Linked DNA regions of Drosophila melanogaster. The protein of the gene in region 3 interacts with the protein of the main gene of each other region in a pairwise test. Each region holds a gene or a part of one and is shown on either strand. Other genes may lie near its edges.

Region 1 (5,303 bases), on a different chromosome or scaffold from region 3:
GAGCAAATGCAAATCATTGGCGAGACGGAGAAGACGAGCGAGGACGCAGCTGTTGGCGCACAGGCAGCATCTGGAGCGGACTCACCCGCCCAGGTAGCCCGCGATCGACAGTCTCGTTCTCGGAGTCGAACTCGCAGCGGGTCCAGTTCAGGATCTGGATCTGGCTCCGGCTCTCGGGCCAGCAGCCGCTCAAAGTCTGGTTCTCGGTCTGGTAGCGGCTCCAGATCACGCACAAATTCGCCGGCAGGATCCCAGAAATCCGGATCCAGATCGAGATCGGTATCACGTTCCCGATCCCGTTCCAAGTCCGGCTCTCGGTCGCGTTCTAGGTCGAGATCCAAGTCCGGTTCCCGATCACGTTCGGGCTCCAGATCTGGCTCTGGGTCGCGATCGCCCAGCCGGTCTCGCAGTGGCTCGCCTTCTGGTTCAGGATCCAGCTCTGGAAGCGCCTCAGATGAATGATTAATTACAAAAAACGGCGTTCATAATAAATAAGTTTATAATCAACCAAGTACATTTGAAAACTGAACTAACTCGATTTAATATCATTTTCGCCTCAACTCAGCGCTCGGGTTCGTTGCCCAGAATAGTTTTAAATAAAATCGGCAGTTTAACATAATTTATATTAGATGTTGTTGTTGTATTGCAAACAAGTCGGGTCCTAGTCGATTTACACTTGGCTGAGATAAAACAACTAAGATTCAAATAATATCCTCATAAGAAGATGTAATTAAGACGTTTTTCTTAGGGGGTGCTTAGGAATTGATTAGATCGCCTTTGGGGAAGTGCAAACAATGTAAAATGATATAAAAGGGTATAAATTAAGTGGATATATGCATCTTCGTTCCAACTACGTGGCGTCCATCAAAAAGCGCTGGAAGACTTCGCCATCGGAACTAGGTAGCTCTGTTTGTTGCGGTGAGTAGATTCTCAAGTTCTGGAGTTGCTGCAGCGGAGAGCCATTCCCGCTGAAGTGTACCACCGCAACCGGCTGTAGGGATATGAGCTGTCCCTCCTCCCGCGGCTCCACACCACAGATGCCCAGCTTTTGGCACTGCTCAACGACAATGTCGTCGATTGACTGCGAAAGCAGTGCCTCCTGCTCAGGATCCACAATGGAGCTGCTGTTGATGGCAGCTATTTCGGCGCTCGCTGGTGAAGGCTGAGTATGCGAGTCGTTGCCCTCCAGGAACGCCTTTATCAGCTGCTCCGGTGTCTGGGCCTCCTCGGTGGGACATCGATGGGTCCTTTGACTGACCTTGTACCTGAACGTCTTTTGGCAGAGCTCGCACTTGTAGGGCATCACTCCCGTGTGGATGCGCGTGTGGACAAGGAAAGAGACTCGCTGCCGGAAACACTTGCCTGTGGACGAGTCCGAAATACGAAAAGGTTAGACATGGAGTGACCCGGAAAAGAAGGTATACCTCTCCTTCATTTAAAGTAAATAGGGCAAATCGCAATGGAGTATGCTCATTTATAAGCTGGCTAACAAAATAAGGGGCGGCTAATTAAGGGGTTTGATCGATACTCACCGCAGACTTCGCACTTGAAGGGCTTTTCGCCGCTGTGAATCCTCTGGTGGTTATGCAGCGTAGACAGTTCCTTGAAGGCGCGTCCACAAACCCCGCAGACATGGGGCTTTACCTCGCTGTGGTAGAGCAAATGCTTGTGGTACGACTGCTGGAAGGTGAAGGTCCTGGCGCAGATCTCGCATGTGTACGGCATCTCGCCGGTGTGGAGCCGCTTGTGCTTCTTCAGAAAGTACTTGGTGGTGAAGGACTTGCTGCACACATCGCACTCCCACAGCTTCGGGGTGGCCGTGCCCGACTCCGGCGAACTGGGGGACTGCTGGAGCATGCTCAGCGCCCCACTCAGCGCGTATGGCTGGGATGCGGTGCACGTGGAGTTATTTCCGTTGCCAAGGGCTCCAGGCTCTGTGTGTCGAATGCGATCGCAAATGCTCAGCTTGGGCGTGGCAGTAACTGCACTGGTGGTAGAAGCGGGTGTAGGACTGGGATTAGGATTTGGATTGGGATTGGAGCAGGGCACGCCCATCATGTGCACTACTTTCAGGTGGATTCGAAGGGAGCCCTTCATTCGGAACGTCTTGGAGCAGAGATGGCACTTGTAGGGCTCCTGGTCCTGTATAAAGCAATAATCGGAATTTCACTTATATTTATCAATTCATCAATATGCCCTCATGGCCAAATATTCCATTACATTACCGTCTGTCTCTCAGTTTCAAATTTATGCACAAAAATCATTCACTTTCATTCACTATATCACAAAGTTGCCATGGTTTTAAATTGATCAAAAACAAATTAATATCTATCATATATATACATAGTCATATGAACAGTTGAAAAATTAATTGAAAATAATGGGAACGATATACGTACATACATCAGTTGTTTTTAAAATATAAGGGTATATAGATTTCTTTCTTGTTGTTGTTGATTTTAATTACGTCAAACTTTTGTTTCAGATTCAATGTAAATGGTCTAGCTTTTTAAGTATGATTTTTTTTTGCTGCCAGTGAGCATAGAAAAAAAAAATCAAAATCGATATAAGAATATGCGAAAGTGCATTACGAAACTCTTTAGATAATAGCACTTAATATATGTACATAGCCAATAGTTACCGGTTCCTTCTGTTGGGGTTCCTTTTGCTTGGGTTCTCCCTCCGCATTTTCGTGGACTAAGCGGACGTGCATGTCCCTCAGCTCGGTATTCCGGAAACTGAACTCGCAAATGTCGCAGTGGGCGGGCGGGGTGGTCCGCACAGGCGGTGGGGTTGGGACGACGGGCTTGGACCTGGTTCGCTTGGCCCTCCGTTTGGGAGGAGCTGCGGCAAGGAAGCCCCGGGACGAGGCGGGTTGGCCATTCGCTGGACTCTCGTTTCCCTCCTGAGCCATCAGACTTGTGTGCGAGAACAGGTGGATGGTGAGCTTGTCCAGCCCCAGGAAGAGCTCCTTGCAGTTGGCAAAGGGACAGGCCAGTGGGCCGTTGGCCGCCTTGATCAGCCTCTGCTGCAGTGCGTCAATACTGCCGAAACTGGGCACCGCGCAGAGCGGACACAGCACCGAGGTGGAACACATTTCGCCAGTGCACTCAATCGAATCTTATGCAAATGCTTCACCTCCTATTGGGATTATCCTCCTGTTCGGTCTGTGATCATCTATTCAGGAGTCCATTCCCAGACTGCCTAGTCTTTCTGCTTTCAAAATTTTCTAAAAATATCAGCAAGTGAAGATTTTTGAAAACTTTGGGCCCAGCAATCTGACTTCTCGGCACCGATGCCAGCTAACGAAATAATGAAAAATAATGAAATGCCCGGCGCGGATCGTCGAATCGTCAAGAAGACTTTCGGAAACACTCGCAGCACCGAAATCCCATCTCTCGAACAAGGCAGTCTCTTTTCTCCGTGTCTCTGGGTAGCTCATTTCGAAATATAGCTCTGAGCACGGCTATATACTATATGTATGTAGAATTATTTCTGGCCGATATATGTTGCACTGGCGGCCATATAGCCTTCGTTCTAGTCTTTGTAACGCACGATGCGCAGGAGCAATTCGCTGAGATGACCACATGCGATTTGCGGGACTTATCTAGAGATCTATCATTATCGCCAGATTGGTTTAATAATTGGCTTTTCCGCCAATATCCAATTGGAATATGGTTGGTTACTGCAATTGTCGCTCCATTTTTTAAGCACTCCATAAAAAGTAAACACATTAATATGTACTCTTATTGGAGATTTCTTCTTTCGATTTTAGTTTCGGACCAGTGAAAATCATTCGTTTCATTTTCGTAAATAAGAACTGAGAAAATATTATTATTATATATATTTCTTTATTAGGAAAATACGAAGATTGAGTATTTCAGATTGAATTAGCATATCCGTCTAAATCTTAATGCTGTAATGAGCTTACTTGAGATCTGATCAAAACCAATACAAAACCCACACCAAAGGTGGTAGCTAATATACATATTTTGTGTAATACTTTTGTAGAGTATTTACTATTCAGCGATTTAAACAAGCAATCGCCTAGACACACACATTTGTCCGCCTATGTGTATGTGCACCGAGCTATACCCCCACTGAATCGCTGTGTGCTATTTTTATGGCCGCGATGCTCTCTTGTTTTGACCCGCTTGGGCAACGCATTTTATTCGCTGTTTCGTTTAGATGGTCAATTTGTAAACACTGCGATGCCAACACGTGAAGATACGAGCATACGGGTTGAGATCATCGGATATCGAACGGAATAATAAATAAATATATTTTAGACTATTATTTTTTCTTCGGCAAGGGCAACTCAAGCGATATGATGCTCAGTCCGGAGTGGGAGGTTGTGGAGGATGTGTCATCCTTAAGGGAGCTCATGTCGGAGACGGAGGACCGGGCACTAGCCCCGTCGCAGGAGAACTTCTTGCCCTTAACATTGAGGTAGGAGGCGGTGTCCTGACCCTGCGAGGACTTGCCCGAGGAGCTGCTGTTCCAGGACACGCGGCTGCACGTGCGCTTCAGGTGCATCGGCAACTTGATTCCTTTTCGCAAGAGGATTCCAATTATATCCGTGCCGCTCTCGTCGCTGTTCGCCAGATCGGTGATCATGTTCAGCGCCTTGGTGTTACGCGCCTCCAGCTCCTGTAGAGACAGATCCCGCTCGAACTGCGCCAGGTACTCCTCGCTAAAGGGCCGCGCCTTGATCTCCCGCAACTGTGTCCGGATCTCTCGATTGGCCCTGTCCAGCTTCATTCGCTGGTCATCTAGTTCGCGCTCGATCTTCTCCAGAACTGCAGAGTGCTCCGCCCGACTAGCCTTCGCCTTCTCTATTTTGGAAATCAGGTCTTCCTCCTCAGCTCGCTGGGCTGCGTGCTTCTGCTGGTAGTGCTGTGCCTTGCACCTGAGAACCTTCAGTTTTTCCAGCTCGCGGCAGTAGGCCGCCTCAAGTTCCTTCAGCTCCAGTTCGGCCCGCTCGCGATCTAGAAATTAGAAGTATGGAAAAAATCTACCAATTTAACATTGAATTACACAATTCTAAGCCACCCGGCTTGTAGACATGGCTAGAATATGACCGCTTAATGTGCTATTATAGTTACTGAAAGTCGGAACGGACGGACGGAAATGGCCAGATCGACTCAGGTATGGATCTTGATCAAGAATATCTATTCTTTATAGAGCCAGAAAACCTAATTTGTTCCTATTCAATATCTGTATCTGTGAGTGTTATTAAAATTCAAAATTAGAGCAATGTTGCTAATACTAGTAACCCTTTCCACTCTGAATGGTCATTTATA
Region 2 (7,499 bases), on a different chromosome or scaffold from region 3:
TATCTCCTAATATCTGCTGGGCGCTACATGTGTTGTAAATTTATGAGCTGTCATATAAATCTTTGCACTTGGGCACCCTTATGCGATACGTGTGTGCCCCGAATTGGAGGGGCGTGGCGCCTGTTTGAGGGCTGATAAGAAATGTGGGATACTGGAGGAACCCTTTTACGCTCACAAATGGGGGCATTTTTCATTTGCATGCATGGTTACTTGAGGAAATTCATAATTTTTATGCCAGTCCTAGGCCCATCTAATTGGGTACAGAGACTTAGTTGCCAGGGTTGTCACTCTCATTTGTTTAATTAATATTGCCACCGAGCTAAGCATTTGCTTGCCGACTGCCACATGTGCACTTTTCTTTGGGGCTTGTCAGCAATTTGCAAAGTGCTGGTCTGAGATTTTTCCACTTTACAAATCCAAGAAGTCGCACCTTACAACAAAAGTTTAAATGAATATGTGAAGCTTATATATAATTTAGCCATTTCATAGATACCTTGAATGTCTTCTATAATGTTTTGTAAAGTTAATATAATTTTATTAAATGCTTTGCTTTAAATACATTATATAAATAGATAATATTTACTATAACATTATATTTTGGCACGCTTTTTCTCCGCTCTACCAGCTTCAATTTCACTGGGTCTCCGATTGTTCGGCTTGCTTGAGGGGATTGCCCTTGTCGTCGATCTCCATGGACGGCACCAAAGGGGGCTTAAATCCATACTCCAGCTGAAGATTGCGCCCGAAGTCGGGACTGCGCTTCAGGGAGTGTCCGTTGCGCCATCGCTGGAACTCATCGAACTCGCTGGTGAGCGGGGAATCCCCAACGTCTGAGTTCGCAGATGTTGGAGCTGGAACGACGCCAATGTAGGACTTAACCATTTTGGTGGGAGTCGAGGCGGCGGCGGTGGCCAAATCGGCGGGAAGGGTATTATAGATATATCGGGATCCCTGCAACCAAGGTGAGCCCTGTGGCGGCGGTGGAGGTCGAAGGTCGAATTTCATGTCAGCCAAACTGAAGGTGGCGACCTTGGGCGCCTCTCCCCTCACGGGTTTCACTGGTTGCTTGATGGCCGCCACCGGCTTGCTCAACTTGACCGCTTTGGGAGATTGGGGGATAGGGGTTTTGGCGGTGAGCTGTGGCAGCAACTTCTTCAGCATCCGTGTGTAATAGTTTTGCAACACTTTCGGTGGAATGTGGGCAACGGAGTGGGTCCAGGGCGTTAGGGAATTGGGGTGGGAGTAGTGGGGAAATGACAGCGAGGAGTGTCCCGGCGGCATGGGCATGTGAATGGCCACGGGGACATGTATCGGAATCGCCATCGGTCGGTCCACAAACTTTTCCACAATCTTCTCCACATGCACGGGCTTCTCCACAATGCGCTCCACCTCAACGGGCACATGCTTCTCGACGATTTTCTCCACCACCCTCTCCACGGGATATGGAACGGGATGTTCGACAATGGTCTCCACTGGGTACGGACGATCCACGTAGTGCTCCACGTGGACAGGCACGGGCACAGGTTGTGGAACGGCATATGGTATGGGTATGTGCTTCTCCACCACCTGTTTGACATGATGATCGTGGTCTTTAAGTTTTTCCACGTGATATGGCTGCAGTGAGGGATGCTCATGATGCTCCAGGTGATCTTGATGCAAGTGAGGCTCATGCTCTGGCTGAGGCTCATGATGGATTATGTGATGATCTTGATGAATCTGATGTATCTGGGGCTCCGGGTGTTGCTCTGGTTGCGTATACACTGGACCTGGGTGAACCGTTTGTTCACTATGACCTGGAGCTGTGAGTCCGGAATGATTTGTATCCAAATGGACGGAGGCATGCGAGACGGCCACTTCCTGGGGCGTACTATCGTATTCCACGTGAATAGGATTTTTAGCCAGAGATGCGTAACTCTTGGAAGGATCAGGTGCCTGCGAAAGGTGATTCTGCGGATATGGCTGGGGGTAAATGGTCTCGTGCTGCTCCACCAATCGGCCATCCTTCTCCGTGATTAGCTTGTTGTGGATGTTCACAGACTTCTGAACCTCCACAAAGGTGTATGGAGTGGACTTCTTTGGAGCTGGAGCTGGAGCATGTTGGATGATGGTCTGGGAGGGCTCGGCATGAGCCTCGGCAACGTAGTTATGGGGAGCCGGGTGATTCACTGTGATCTGGACTCCTGGCTCAAATGGCGTATGCGCAATGGATGGTGCCGCCGAGGAGTGGGGTGGACTTGGAGTGTTCAAGGTCACAAACACCAGACTATTTGGAGTGGCGGAAACGGGTGTGGGACCTGCATAGCCAGAATATTGCTGGACATCCGGCGCAGGCGACGATATGGCCTTGGTGTGCAGCAACTCCGACTGCTGCTGCGGCTTGCTCTGCTCTTGTGGTATCACCTGGCTAAGCTCCTGTTGATAGGCCAACTGGGCAGCAGGTTTCACAAATTGGCCGGCGTAGTCTCCTTCCTTCGGCGTCCGTGGATTCGGGCGCTGTGGAGGATTCTGCACCTCGTAGTGGAAACTGCCCTTCGGGAGGGGTCCGTCGCCACTTCCGGAGACAATGGGATTGAAGCTCTTGAGGAATTGCCGTGATGGTGCCTCTTGACTGGGATGATGCTGCTGGAATCTCTGCTCACTGTGCGCCTGGAAGTGATCCAAGGCCTGCTGCGCAGGCTGCGACTGGGACTCCTTGGGTGTCTGAAAATATGTGTAATATGTGTATTATCATTTCGGATTCTCCAATGCCATCCTACCTTTGCCTCTGCCTGCTGAGGTTTTCCCTGTGGTCCGTCGTGTACGATGTGCACATTGATCTCCTGATCCTGACCGGGACCCTTTTGGTTGGCATAACTCTCGATGCCATTGAAATTTGGAACTGGAACTCGCTGCTGGTAGGCCTCCCGGCCCACGTGGCGTGTCTCCGCAATCTGGTTGTCATTGATCTCCTGCCCCTCTTCCAGGTCCGGATCGTGTTCGCCCAGGATCACAATTGGAGAACTTTCTGCTGCCACTAGAGTCTCGTTGTCATCGCCCTCCGGTTGGAGCAGCACACTGGGCAGCACTGGAGCCGCCACAGCAGCTCGATTGATCCTAAGCAGCTCATCTCGGGAAATGTGGTTACTGCCATCTCGGAATCCCGGATCCCTAATCTGCTCAACCACTATCTCCGTGTGACCTGGTCCCAATTCTCGACGGTATTCCTTCGTCACTGTGGTTTGGTAACTGTAGTAGGTGGCATTCGGCGCTGGAGGCTTCGTTTGCTTTTCAGTGCTGGCTGCCTCTGTGGTACTGACCACATCCACAACTGTTGGCCGGACCACCGCCTTATTCGTGGTCGTAGACGTGGTGGTGGATGTATCTGTATTGCCACTAAATCGGAAAATGTCCGAGAATCCCTTGGGGAACAGATTGGACAGCACCTCGTTCACGGTTTCCGTTCGCGAGCGGGTCACTGTCTGCTCAATGGGTCTTTGTCGACGAGCCACTTCCACTGGCAGCTCATCGTTGATCTCGAACTGGATGTAACCATGTCCATTGGTGGGACTGTCTGAATCTTTGGGAGGCAGAGCAGTGGGCAGAAAGCCTGGAACACTGTAGAAAATAACCCTCTTGTTATTTATAATTATTTGCATATTTAAGTTGAAAGACAGCAAAACTATCTTTAAGATTTTTGATGAAGCCTTTTCATTTTTCCTTTTGACTGTTGACTTACCCGACGAACTCCGTTTCGGTTTCTGTTTCTATAGGATCTTCCCCTTCCCGTTTGAGTTCCCTCTCCAGATCCGGATCCACGCGCACTTCGTCGGCCAAGTTTGGACCTTCGATGACCTCGCGGATGAGTTGCTCGGCTGGCTGCTTATTAAGCTGTCAAAAGCGACGCTCATTGCCTGTCAAAATCTTTCACTAAACTCGGACTTACCTCCTTGCCGCTGCTGTCACTCAGGGCTTCAGTGGCCGCTGCCTCCACCGTCAAATTCTGGGGGAGATCGCCAGGGGCCGAGACTGCTGCTGAGGATGGTGGTGTTGATGAGGATGTAAGGATGGGGGGCTCATCCGAAAGGGCCGGCTGGACGATGATGGCCAAGAGACAGCAGAGCGTGGCTGCCGCCGTTAGCAGATGTCGTTGGTGGCGGTGGGGCCACATGGAGCTATTACGGAAATGGCCAAAAGCAGAAAGAGTTAGCTGGAAGTTGTTGGGCTTTTTGGCGTGCGAATAGTGGTATCGATGCTGGTGGTGGTGGTGGTGGTGGTGGTGTGAATAACCCCGGCGACCACGACAAATTCCAAGCGACAAATGGAGGAGTCGTCAAGCCTGTTTGGGCCCGCTCCAAAGGCCATCCAATAGCCTCCACTTGAAACCAAGCCACTCGAATCCACTGCACTCCACTCCACTCCTGACTACTATGGCCACTCACTTGTCGGGCTGTTTGATTTTAACCGATACGTCGCTGGATGATGATTTTTCCTAAGTGGCTGCCAAGGCAGGCACTTTGGCGCTTCTCTTTCTCCTTTGCTTTAAAAGAGATTTTCCCTAAAACGTTTGTCGTTTTTCCTGCCAAGTTGTTGAACTTGGCGCTGCGTTTGCGCTTGGGGCTTATGTCATTGCTACTGGCAACGTAATGAATTATTAATTAACCCCCCCCCCCCAAAAAACTCCATTGAACCCCTTCTCCCCCTGCCCGCTGCAACAACGCATTTAATTTGGAAAATTGAAATTGATGGCGTTTAAAATGGTTCGTACGGGTTTTCACATAGTTTGGCCACTGCGCCTGTATTTTGATAGGCATTAAATATGCATGCCAAAACATATTTCACCTGCAATATTCATGGCTAAGTGGCCCGTGGCGCTTTGCAGCCGGTCTTGCAGACTATCTTGTTGGCCAAATAACACAAGAAAGTGGAGCTTTCAGTAGGGAAATTGTGGCTTTAATTGGGCATGGATAACGATCTGAACGGAGCTATTAAACGGGAGGCATTTCATATGCATATGTCCTAAGTCCTTTCGATTGGCAATAAATATAAGGCACCTTTGATGATGGTGCTGCCTTCACTGAATATATCCATACAAGTCCTTTGCGTTAAATCACAAGCAAATTGCATTCGTTACTAACTCAATTTGCACATTGAAATTATTCTTGCTTTACGCCCGCAGAGGAAATGCATTATAATTTGCGCAGCTAAATGGGCATTTAAAATATATTCCGCTTTTTGCATTTACCTGCATCCATTAAATACTGCGCGATGGAATTTATTTATTCGTGTTTTGTCGTAGAATTTGTATGCGGCCAGGCCAAATGAAATGAAAACACTCAATTATTTATATTGATTGCCGCACAATTAAAACGCACTTATAATCACTTTTCTATTCGATTAAAACAATTGTAATTCGCCGCCGAGCTCGTCTGCAATGGCACAAAAGTGTATTTCTCTTCTTATTATTATTTTATTTTCGTTTTTTTTTTTTGGCGGGGAAATCGAACTCGATGCAATATCGGTTTTCAGGTGCTCTTTTCGTGCGACCCTGCCAGTTGCGCGTGCGCGTTGCGAATGAAAGTGAAACCGTGGGGCACTGAGCATTTCGTTTTCTTTTCATCGTCGTGGGCTGCTGCAAGTTGCTGTCGTCGCCGATGTTGTTGCTTCTGCTGCTGCGACTGATTTTGCTGCTGCTGCTGCGACTGATGTTGCTGCTGCGATCCTTAAAGTGTAGCACAAAACTTGTCCATCCAGCGATTGCGCAAGCGACGCTGTCTTTTTTGCTCCTTCACGTCAATGACAATTTGGTTTTTATGGCTTTCTACGACGGCAGCATTGACCCTGCCGAAAAATATATACAAAAAAAAAACAAAAACCAAAGAAAAAATGCAAAACTGGTAAGAGCGCGGGAAAACTTTTGAAACTGGTTTTCGGCCTGGCAAATGCCAGAAAGGCATGTGGCTAAATCCGCTATGAAAGCCCTTGTCGTGGCCTAAACGCCCTTTGCCACTTGTTTTTTGGCTCGTTGACATAAATATCTTGCCGCATTTCCTTGCCCCATAAACACCTGCAGCGCAATTATCGCATTCAGTTTACACACCTGTCGGTTCGATCACCTTACGAACGCATTGTTTTCATACGCTTTTCCTCCGATTTTCCACCGGAGTGTTTTCATTAATTTTTAATGAGTTGCCGTTGTTGCTGTGGAGCGTTTGACGTTTTTGGCTGATTGATTAATGTGAATGCGGTTTTGCGTGCGGCGGCACAGCGGTGGACTTGTTTTTTTATTTCTGTCTGATTTATTAAAATGCGTCTTTTTTATTAATGCTTTGGTAATTCATTTTATTTATTGCATATTTAATGCTATCGTTTTTCTTTTGTTTTTTGTTTTGTTGTGCGCGCTTTGAAGATATTTTTATTTTTTATGACAAAATTATGTGAGTCGAGGAATTGCATGAATTTAAATGGTCATTTGAACAGATCATTTAATTTTCGAATGGCAACCATTGCAGCAACTTTTCAATTCCGAGTATTACATCAGTTTAGTATAAATTTAATTTACCAATTTATTGATTTGTCATGCAACAAAAATGTTTGCTATTTTAATTAAAATGCTTTATTTATACCTATTTCAGGCAGCATTACTTTTTTATTTTGTAGTTGGCAAGATAACTACCAAAACAAATGTGGGGGAAAGTGGGCGTTCTGGCAGAGCTAATGCCTCCATTACCCGAACATATAGATCCAACGATCATTTTTAGTGTGATTTATGCCATCCGTAATCGGTAAGCTTCTTTATCTGCGTGCATCTCATTAAAGACATGTTGCATGCCCCATGTACACACAACTGACTTTCACCCATGAGGCTGGTGTGGAGAACTGGAAACTGTAACTTGTAGCCGAGATCACCATTTCGGTTGGCATTTCCTCCGGCCTTTTCCGCACCAAATCGCACCAAACCCCAACGACAATTATGATGAAAAGCCAGGGGGGGGGGAGGGGTTGATTGCATAAGCCAAGCAAGTGCGGGAAAATGCGAACCATAAATTGCCGTGACCAGCAACTACTGACTTGGCTAATTTTTGCCGGATCAGCATTTCGGTAAAATTGTAACAGAAGTCACCTGGAGTCGATTTCCTTCCGCCCAAGAAAAACTGGTCGCACTGCAACAGCACTGGAAAATCAACGAAATCTCTGAAATGCCTTGTGACCGCAAACGAAATGGGACAATAAAATCATGTTGAAAAAAAAAGAAGGAAATCGCTGAAATGGCGGAAAAATCTATTAAAAGCAATTCGCTTAATTTCGTTACCGGACCGGCATTGCTCATATTTACTTATTGTACTTCCCCTCAAACCCTCAAAAAGCCCAGTCGGCCGGAAAAGTCGGTGGGATGGAGGTGAATGGGGGGGCGTGGCAGTCGGCTAATTAAGTGCGCAGGGCAAATGAAATATATGTATGTAGGAGAGGAAAAAAGGTAATTACAATCAATGGGGAGTAGAGTCCGGTCTTCATCCTCAGAC
Region 3 (5,128 bases):
TAATCCACACGAACGACATGAATGAAATCATATGATGCTGCAAAGTATATGTCATAGTTTTAATACTGCGTTGGTGATGCGTCGGTGATTAAGGATTCGACGTCAAATTAGTTTGGGCAGCTTGTAGAGTTGGTGCCTTAGAGGTAGGTTCTGTTAGCCTCGAATTATGGACGTTTGGAAATATCAAATTTTGGAAGGTGGTCGAAGGGCCAAATAAGGACCTCTTTGCGGGTGATAAAAAAACTTCTGGCGTTCTGGCGTTACTCGGAGATGTATCCGGCTTTTGGGGTCTTTGTATATTGAACAGCCTTTATATGGTCAGAAGCGCTTTCTTCCACCTGTTACATACTTTTCAACGAACCTATTGTAGTATTCCCTTTTACTCTACGAGTAACGGGTATAAAAAATATAAGGCCCAAAGGGTTTTCTGTAGCACCTACCGTTTAGTTACACAATTCATAAAAAAAACCAAATCGATTTTCAAATTCATAATTTTTTTGTATAAGAATCATACGAAAAAACGGTAAAAATTTTATTATGTCCTTCGTACCCGTTTATTTTTATTTTACTTAATAAGATTTTAATTTTCTGATTATGTTAACAATTGGTATGCACAACTTATTAATCATACAATTAGCTCAAAAATCAAAATTATCAAAAGAAATTCCTTCCATTCCTTCCTATTTAGCATATTTCTGTGGAGTTTTTGCTTAAATCACAATCATCGACAAATTCAACGTGCGTGAAGGGAAAATGACCATTTTTTCCATTTAATTCTCCCTCCCATTGCCCATTAATGTTTGTTTTAGTGACTTTAATAATGTCACCTATTTCCAATTTTAATGCAGTCTTATCGTATGCGTTAGGGACCCTTGACTGTTTTACGCGGGCGTATGCAGGTAGTTTTCGCTTCGATAAATTAAAATGTAAAACATTATTTTTTTTTTAAATACTTTTTTGGAACACTTACATTTAAATCTGTCCTTTTAAGAGTACTTTCAAATACATTGCTAGATCCCGAAATGGAAGGTTCGTTTTTATCAATAGCATCTTCATCCATATAATCGTCATACTGAAAAGAACAAATTTGAAAATGATTTAACTTTTAAAAATCAATGCCTTTAACAAACTTATTTATCAAAGGTCGTTCGCAATTTGGCCTTCTCTATTTAAGCGGACGAATATATTGAAGGCAATGGAGCTTGTCCATTGTCAGTTTAATTCAATGCAAATGGTTTTTGTAATGGATTTTATAATGTATTGAGATTGTAGTCAGACTTTAAAGAATCTAATCGCAACAATTTAAGGGTATTATTACATGAACTCAATAATTATTTCTGAACAAGTTTCTCGGCTATCAGATACCCGCTAGTCATAAAATAGGCGTGGGGAAAAGAGCTCAATTTACATTTTTTACATACATACATATATTTTTACATATTTACTTCTGGCGACTCTTTGACATTATTGACCCTTATACGTCTCACTAGTTTTCGGGTTTCTTTCTGATTTTACATTATTAATATCCTAGCGTTAGTGTCGCCGTATCGAAAGTTTTATTTGCATTCCATAAAAATTGACGCGACTGGTTTTACCGAATTCACCATTCATTTCAAGTGTAGTATTTTAACATCAGCGTTATAAGGAAACAAAGAAATTAAAAACGGGTTACCCGTTACAAAAAAGGATAACAAATCCAAATATTTGCTTAACGCACCTGTTGTATATAGGGAACCGGTATTTGACCAATTTTCCCCGAGGAGTTACGCGCAGTCCACCATTGATCCTCGTCTTTTCGAACTATTGTTAAAACTTCACCTCTTTGAAAAGGTAAATCATCTTGATCCTTTGATAAATAAGAAAATTAAATTACTTACAAAAATGAATAATTGTGTAAATGCTCACGCTGCCAACGAAATCGAACTTTCCTATTACTTTTTCCACCCTTCTACACGCAGGCCGTTTTAAAGGGGTTGTATCCAAATAATGAAGAGTGTAAAAAGTTAAGAGTTTCGGTAGATTGTCAAAAGACTGATCCCCAATGCGGTAAACGATTTGATCCTGTTGTTGAACTTTGTTAATGATGTAGTTGCTAACTTTTGTATCTTCTCTAAATAATAAAAATCTTTATAAGTAAACAATTCTTTTATAACAGGCGCAAAATCCTTAAAAACTAAACAAAAATTTGTTTCAAGTTTAAATATGAAAACCTATTTTTAATATTCTAATGTATATACATTTATATTAATAAAGAACTTTTAAAATCAAAAAGAATATTCTTGAGACGTTTATTCATCTAATTCTTTAATAAATGCCGCGTGGCGAGACATACAGTAGAAATTGAGTTCCTTTAATTCGTAATTATTTTTGTTTACGTCGTTAAATTCTTCAATTTATTTACCCCGTCAATACATGGCGCACATATTAAAAACATACTAAATTGCAATGGCTATGAGAGATCATCATTGACATTTTATCATCGTCCTTAAAGGTACATTCCATACTAAATTAAAGAAATACAAAATTGACCATAGACCCTTGCCATTGGATCTAAATATCAAACAAAACAAGAGAGAACCCGTTACTCAGCTAGTTGAATGGGAAAGAGAAATTTCAAAAATTTTCTGGGAAAGAAATAATAAAACAAACACAATTTTTAAGGTTTCCCAAAACTGAAACACACAAAATTGATAAAAATTTTTAGATTTCTCTTTCTTATTACTTTTTTCACCCAGGTCTATTAAAAAGAATATCCTTTTTTAATGTAAGAAATTTGTTTATATTTAAAAATTACAGATAAATGTTTAAAGTACATCTATAAAACACGTATACATGCTTAAAATGGAAACAGGAATTTCTATATAAACCTTTATGGTAAGCTGCGATTAAGAAAGGCTGACATTAAGTATTTCTCACTATACACAATTTTTAGTTTAATTTTTAAAATAAAAATTAGCTAACAGAAATGAAACGATAAGTACACAATCAAAGTCTGAATGTATTAATTTTGTTTACTTACCTTACACAAAGTACATAATCCCCTGCTATCGAGTTACTATCACGGACTAAAAACACTCCCCGCTCGCGTTCGTTCATCAAAACTTCAGTAGCATCCTGTCTAGACATGGGACCAAAGTACCAGCTTTAAGAACACATTTTGATGTTAAAACAATTGATAGTTTTTGGTTTAATCTTCACTTGATCTTAAATTACCTGTTCCTATCAGAAACGTCAAATGTATCCATTTCCGTTTAAGGTTTATCTTAGACAAATTACAACAAATTCCGTCCAGATTAAATAAATAGAAATTATGTGATATAATGCAAATATAGCATACAGCCTATTATATACCAGAATTCTTCAGTGATTTCATTTTCGAATTTCTGGCCTTAAAACATTTGCCTTTTATATGTGTATCTGGCTGGGCCACACATAGAAACACTATCGATAATGTTTGATCGATTATTTCCACTTGGAAGTTTTATGCCAATATTGTACCGTAGAACCGTAATGCGGCACTTGCACAGGGCACATTCGATTGAAAAGAACTCCTTCGAGCAACTGCTCTGTGGTGGTAAACCCCTTTAGGACGTACTGTCAGCTTTTAAAATCTAAATGTAAAACCGTGATCAATGCATATCAATTTGATATTCTAATTTTTAAGTAAAACCGATATATTTGTTCTTCTGTTCAATTCAAGGATATTTACAGGAATATTAGGAATACGAATATATCTGGTTGACATGTTATTTTGACTCCACAACTGATCAGCTGTCAATCGTAGAAAATCCGCATATGTTGCTAAGATCGGCAGCTAAATAAGATTTGGAGCAATCCGATCAATCCGCTGTGGAGGGAGCCCACCCTGGGATTGCTAAAGATTCCGAATTGTCTGCACTGGTTTCTTAACCAGTGATTCTACCTGTCCCGATTAGTTTACCACCACAAGGGAACATTGAGTCCGGACTCCCGGCACAAGTTGGCACTTCAGAAATACAATCTGCAGGGCCAAAACCACTCGCGGTGATTCCACTTAAGAAACAAACTTTCGTTTCTCGGTTTTCACCTGATCAAAAATCATCTGATGTATGGTCTTATATGCAAGACAAAACAAAAGTCGATAATATAAAAGTAATATAAAAGTGGAAAAATTTAACTTATCTTACGCTATGGACATAAGATATATAAGATTTTGAAGCTAGGATCAAAAATAGGAAAAAGGGGCCCGTGGGAAATAAACTTTCCTCACATGGCCAGACCACTGCACCATCCGCCTCTTCATCTTCTTCAAAAAACTGACAACGAATCTTTGTCCGAATCTTTTTCCTATCAAAATGCTAGAGGTTTGCGTAGCATACTAATCAAATTATATTGTAATAGCCATTCCTTTGCATGCTCAAGATATGACCAAAGCAAAGACACTAGAATAATTCTAGTGTCTATGATATGACTTTTGCAATAAACAGTTTACATATTTTTTTTATTTTTATATATTTTTGTTTTCTACTTCGTATTATTTTTATGAAATATTTATTTCTCAATGTAATGTCTTCTTTTTGGAAAATGTATGTTTTAAATTAAAGTTGTTATAATAATTTCCGTATATATTTAGTATATTTCTCAAGTCATTTGACTTAATATGATGTATGTAAAATTTTTGTTATTTAAAATGCACATTAGATTTAGTTGTTTTTCAGTTCCAGTTTTTTTTTTTTTTTTTTTTTTTGTTATATTTCAATTTGATATTTTTAACAGCGCGCAATTTCATCAAATATGTAAACTCGTTTCTTCGGTCAGAATTGATTTCGGCCCGAAATCGTCTTCTAGAACAACACGCACACATATACGCGTTCTCGTCTCTTGTTTTTACTTACTCAAGCAAGCAAGTTCTATTTTAAGATTTCTTACGCTCTCAGCGTAAGCTAGCGGACAGAGAGCAATTTTGGCCGTCACCAAAAAAGTGGCTGCATAGTGCCAAACCAAAGACACTAGAATAACAAGATGCGTAACGGCCATACATTGGTTTGGCACTATGCAGCCACTTTTTTGGTGACGGCCAAAATTACTCTCTTTCGGCTCACTCCCGCTGAGAGCGTAAGAAATCTAAAAATATAATTTGCTTGCTTGT

What was found. Proteins that work in one complex are often made in the same cells at the same time.
Region 1: the proteins of Crk (region 3) and CG14655 interact in a two-hybrid assay, tested with the Drosophila melanogaster proteins (one large-scale study listed by BioGRID).
Region 2: the proteins of Crk (region 3) and CG6280 interact in a two-hybrid assay, tested with the Drosophila melanogaster proteins (one large-scale study listed by BioGRID).

What each region holds. Positions count from the first base shown.
Region 1 is NT_033777.3:4,776,978-4,782,280, forward strand, and holds CG14655 (uncharacterized protein), read right to left. Parts: upstream 3,326-5,303; 5' UTR 3,098-3,325; coding exon 2,642-3,097; intron 2,143-2,641; coding exon 1,533-2,142; intron 1,363-1,532; coding exon 851-1,362; 3' UTR 520-850; downstream 1-519. Other genes in the region: atms (antimeros), read left to right, coding at 1-462; Ccdc39 (Coiled-coil domain containing protein 39), read right to left, coding at 4,294-4,988.
Region 2 is NT_033778.4:13,751,992-13,759,490, reverse strand, and holds CG6280 (uncharacterized protein), read right to left. Parts: upstream 5,528-7,499; 5' UTR 5,222-5,527; intron 4,152-5,221; 5' UTR 4,148-4,151; coding exon 3,923-4,147; intron 3,868-3,922; coding exon 3,716-3,867; intron 3,595-3,715; coding exon 2,757-3,594; intron 2,701-2,756; coding exon 634-2,700; 3' UTR 520-633; downstream 1-519.
Region 3 is NC_004353.4:208,572-213,699, reverse strand, and holds Crk (Crk oncogene), read right to left. Parts: upstream 3,477-5,128; 5' UTR 3,338-3,476; exon of another isoform or gene 3,263-3,337; 5' UTR 3,246-3,262; coding exon 3,214-3,245; intron 3,143-3,213; coding exon 3,020-3,142; intron 2,111-3,019; coding exon 1,906-2,110; intron 1,847-1,905; coding exon 1,718-1,846; intron 1,586-1,717; coding exon of another isoform or gene 1,520-1,585; exon of another isoform or gene 1,426-1,519; intron 1,073-1,425; coding exon 971-1,072; intron 910-970; coding exon 685-909; 3' UTR 535-684; downstream 1-534. UniProt on the Drosophila melanogaster protein: Adapter protein which interacts with C-terminal portion of mbc, homolog of human DOCK180. May play a role in cellular processes throughout development.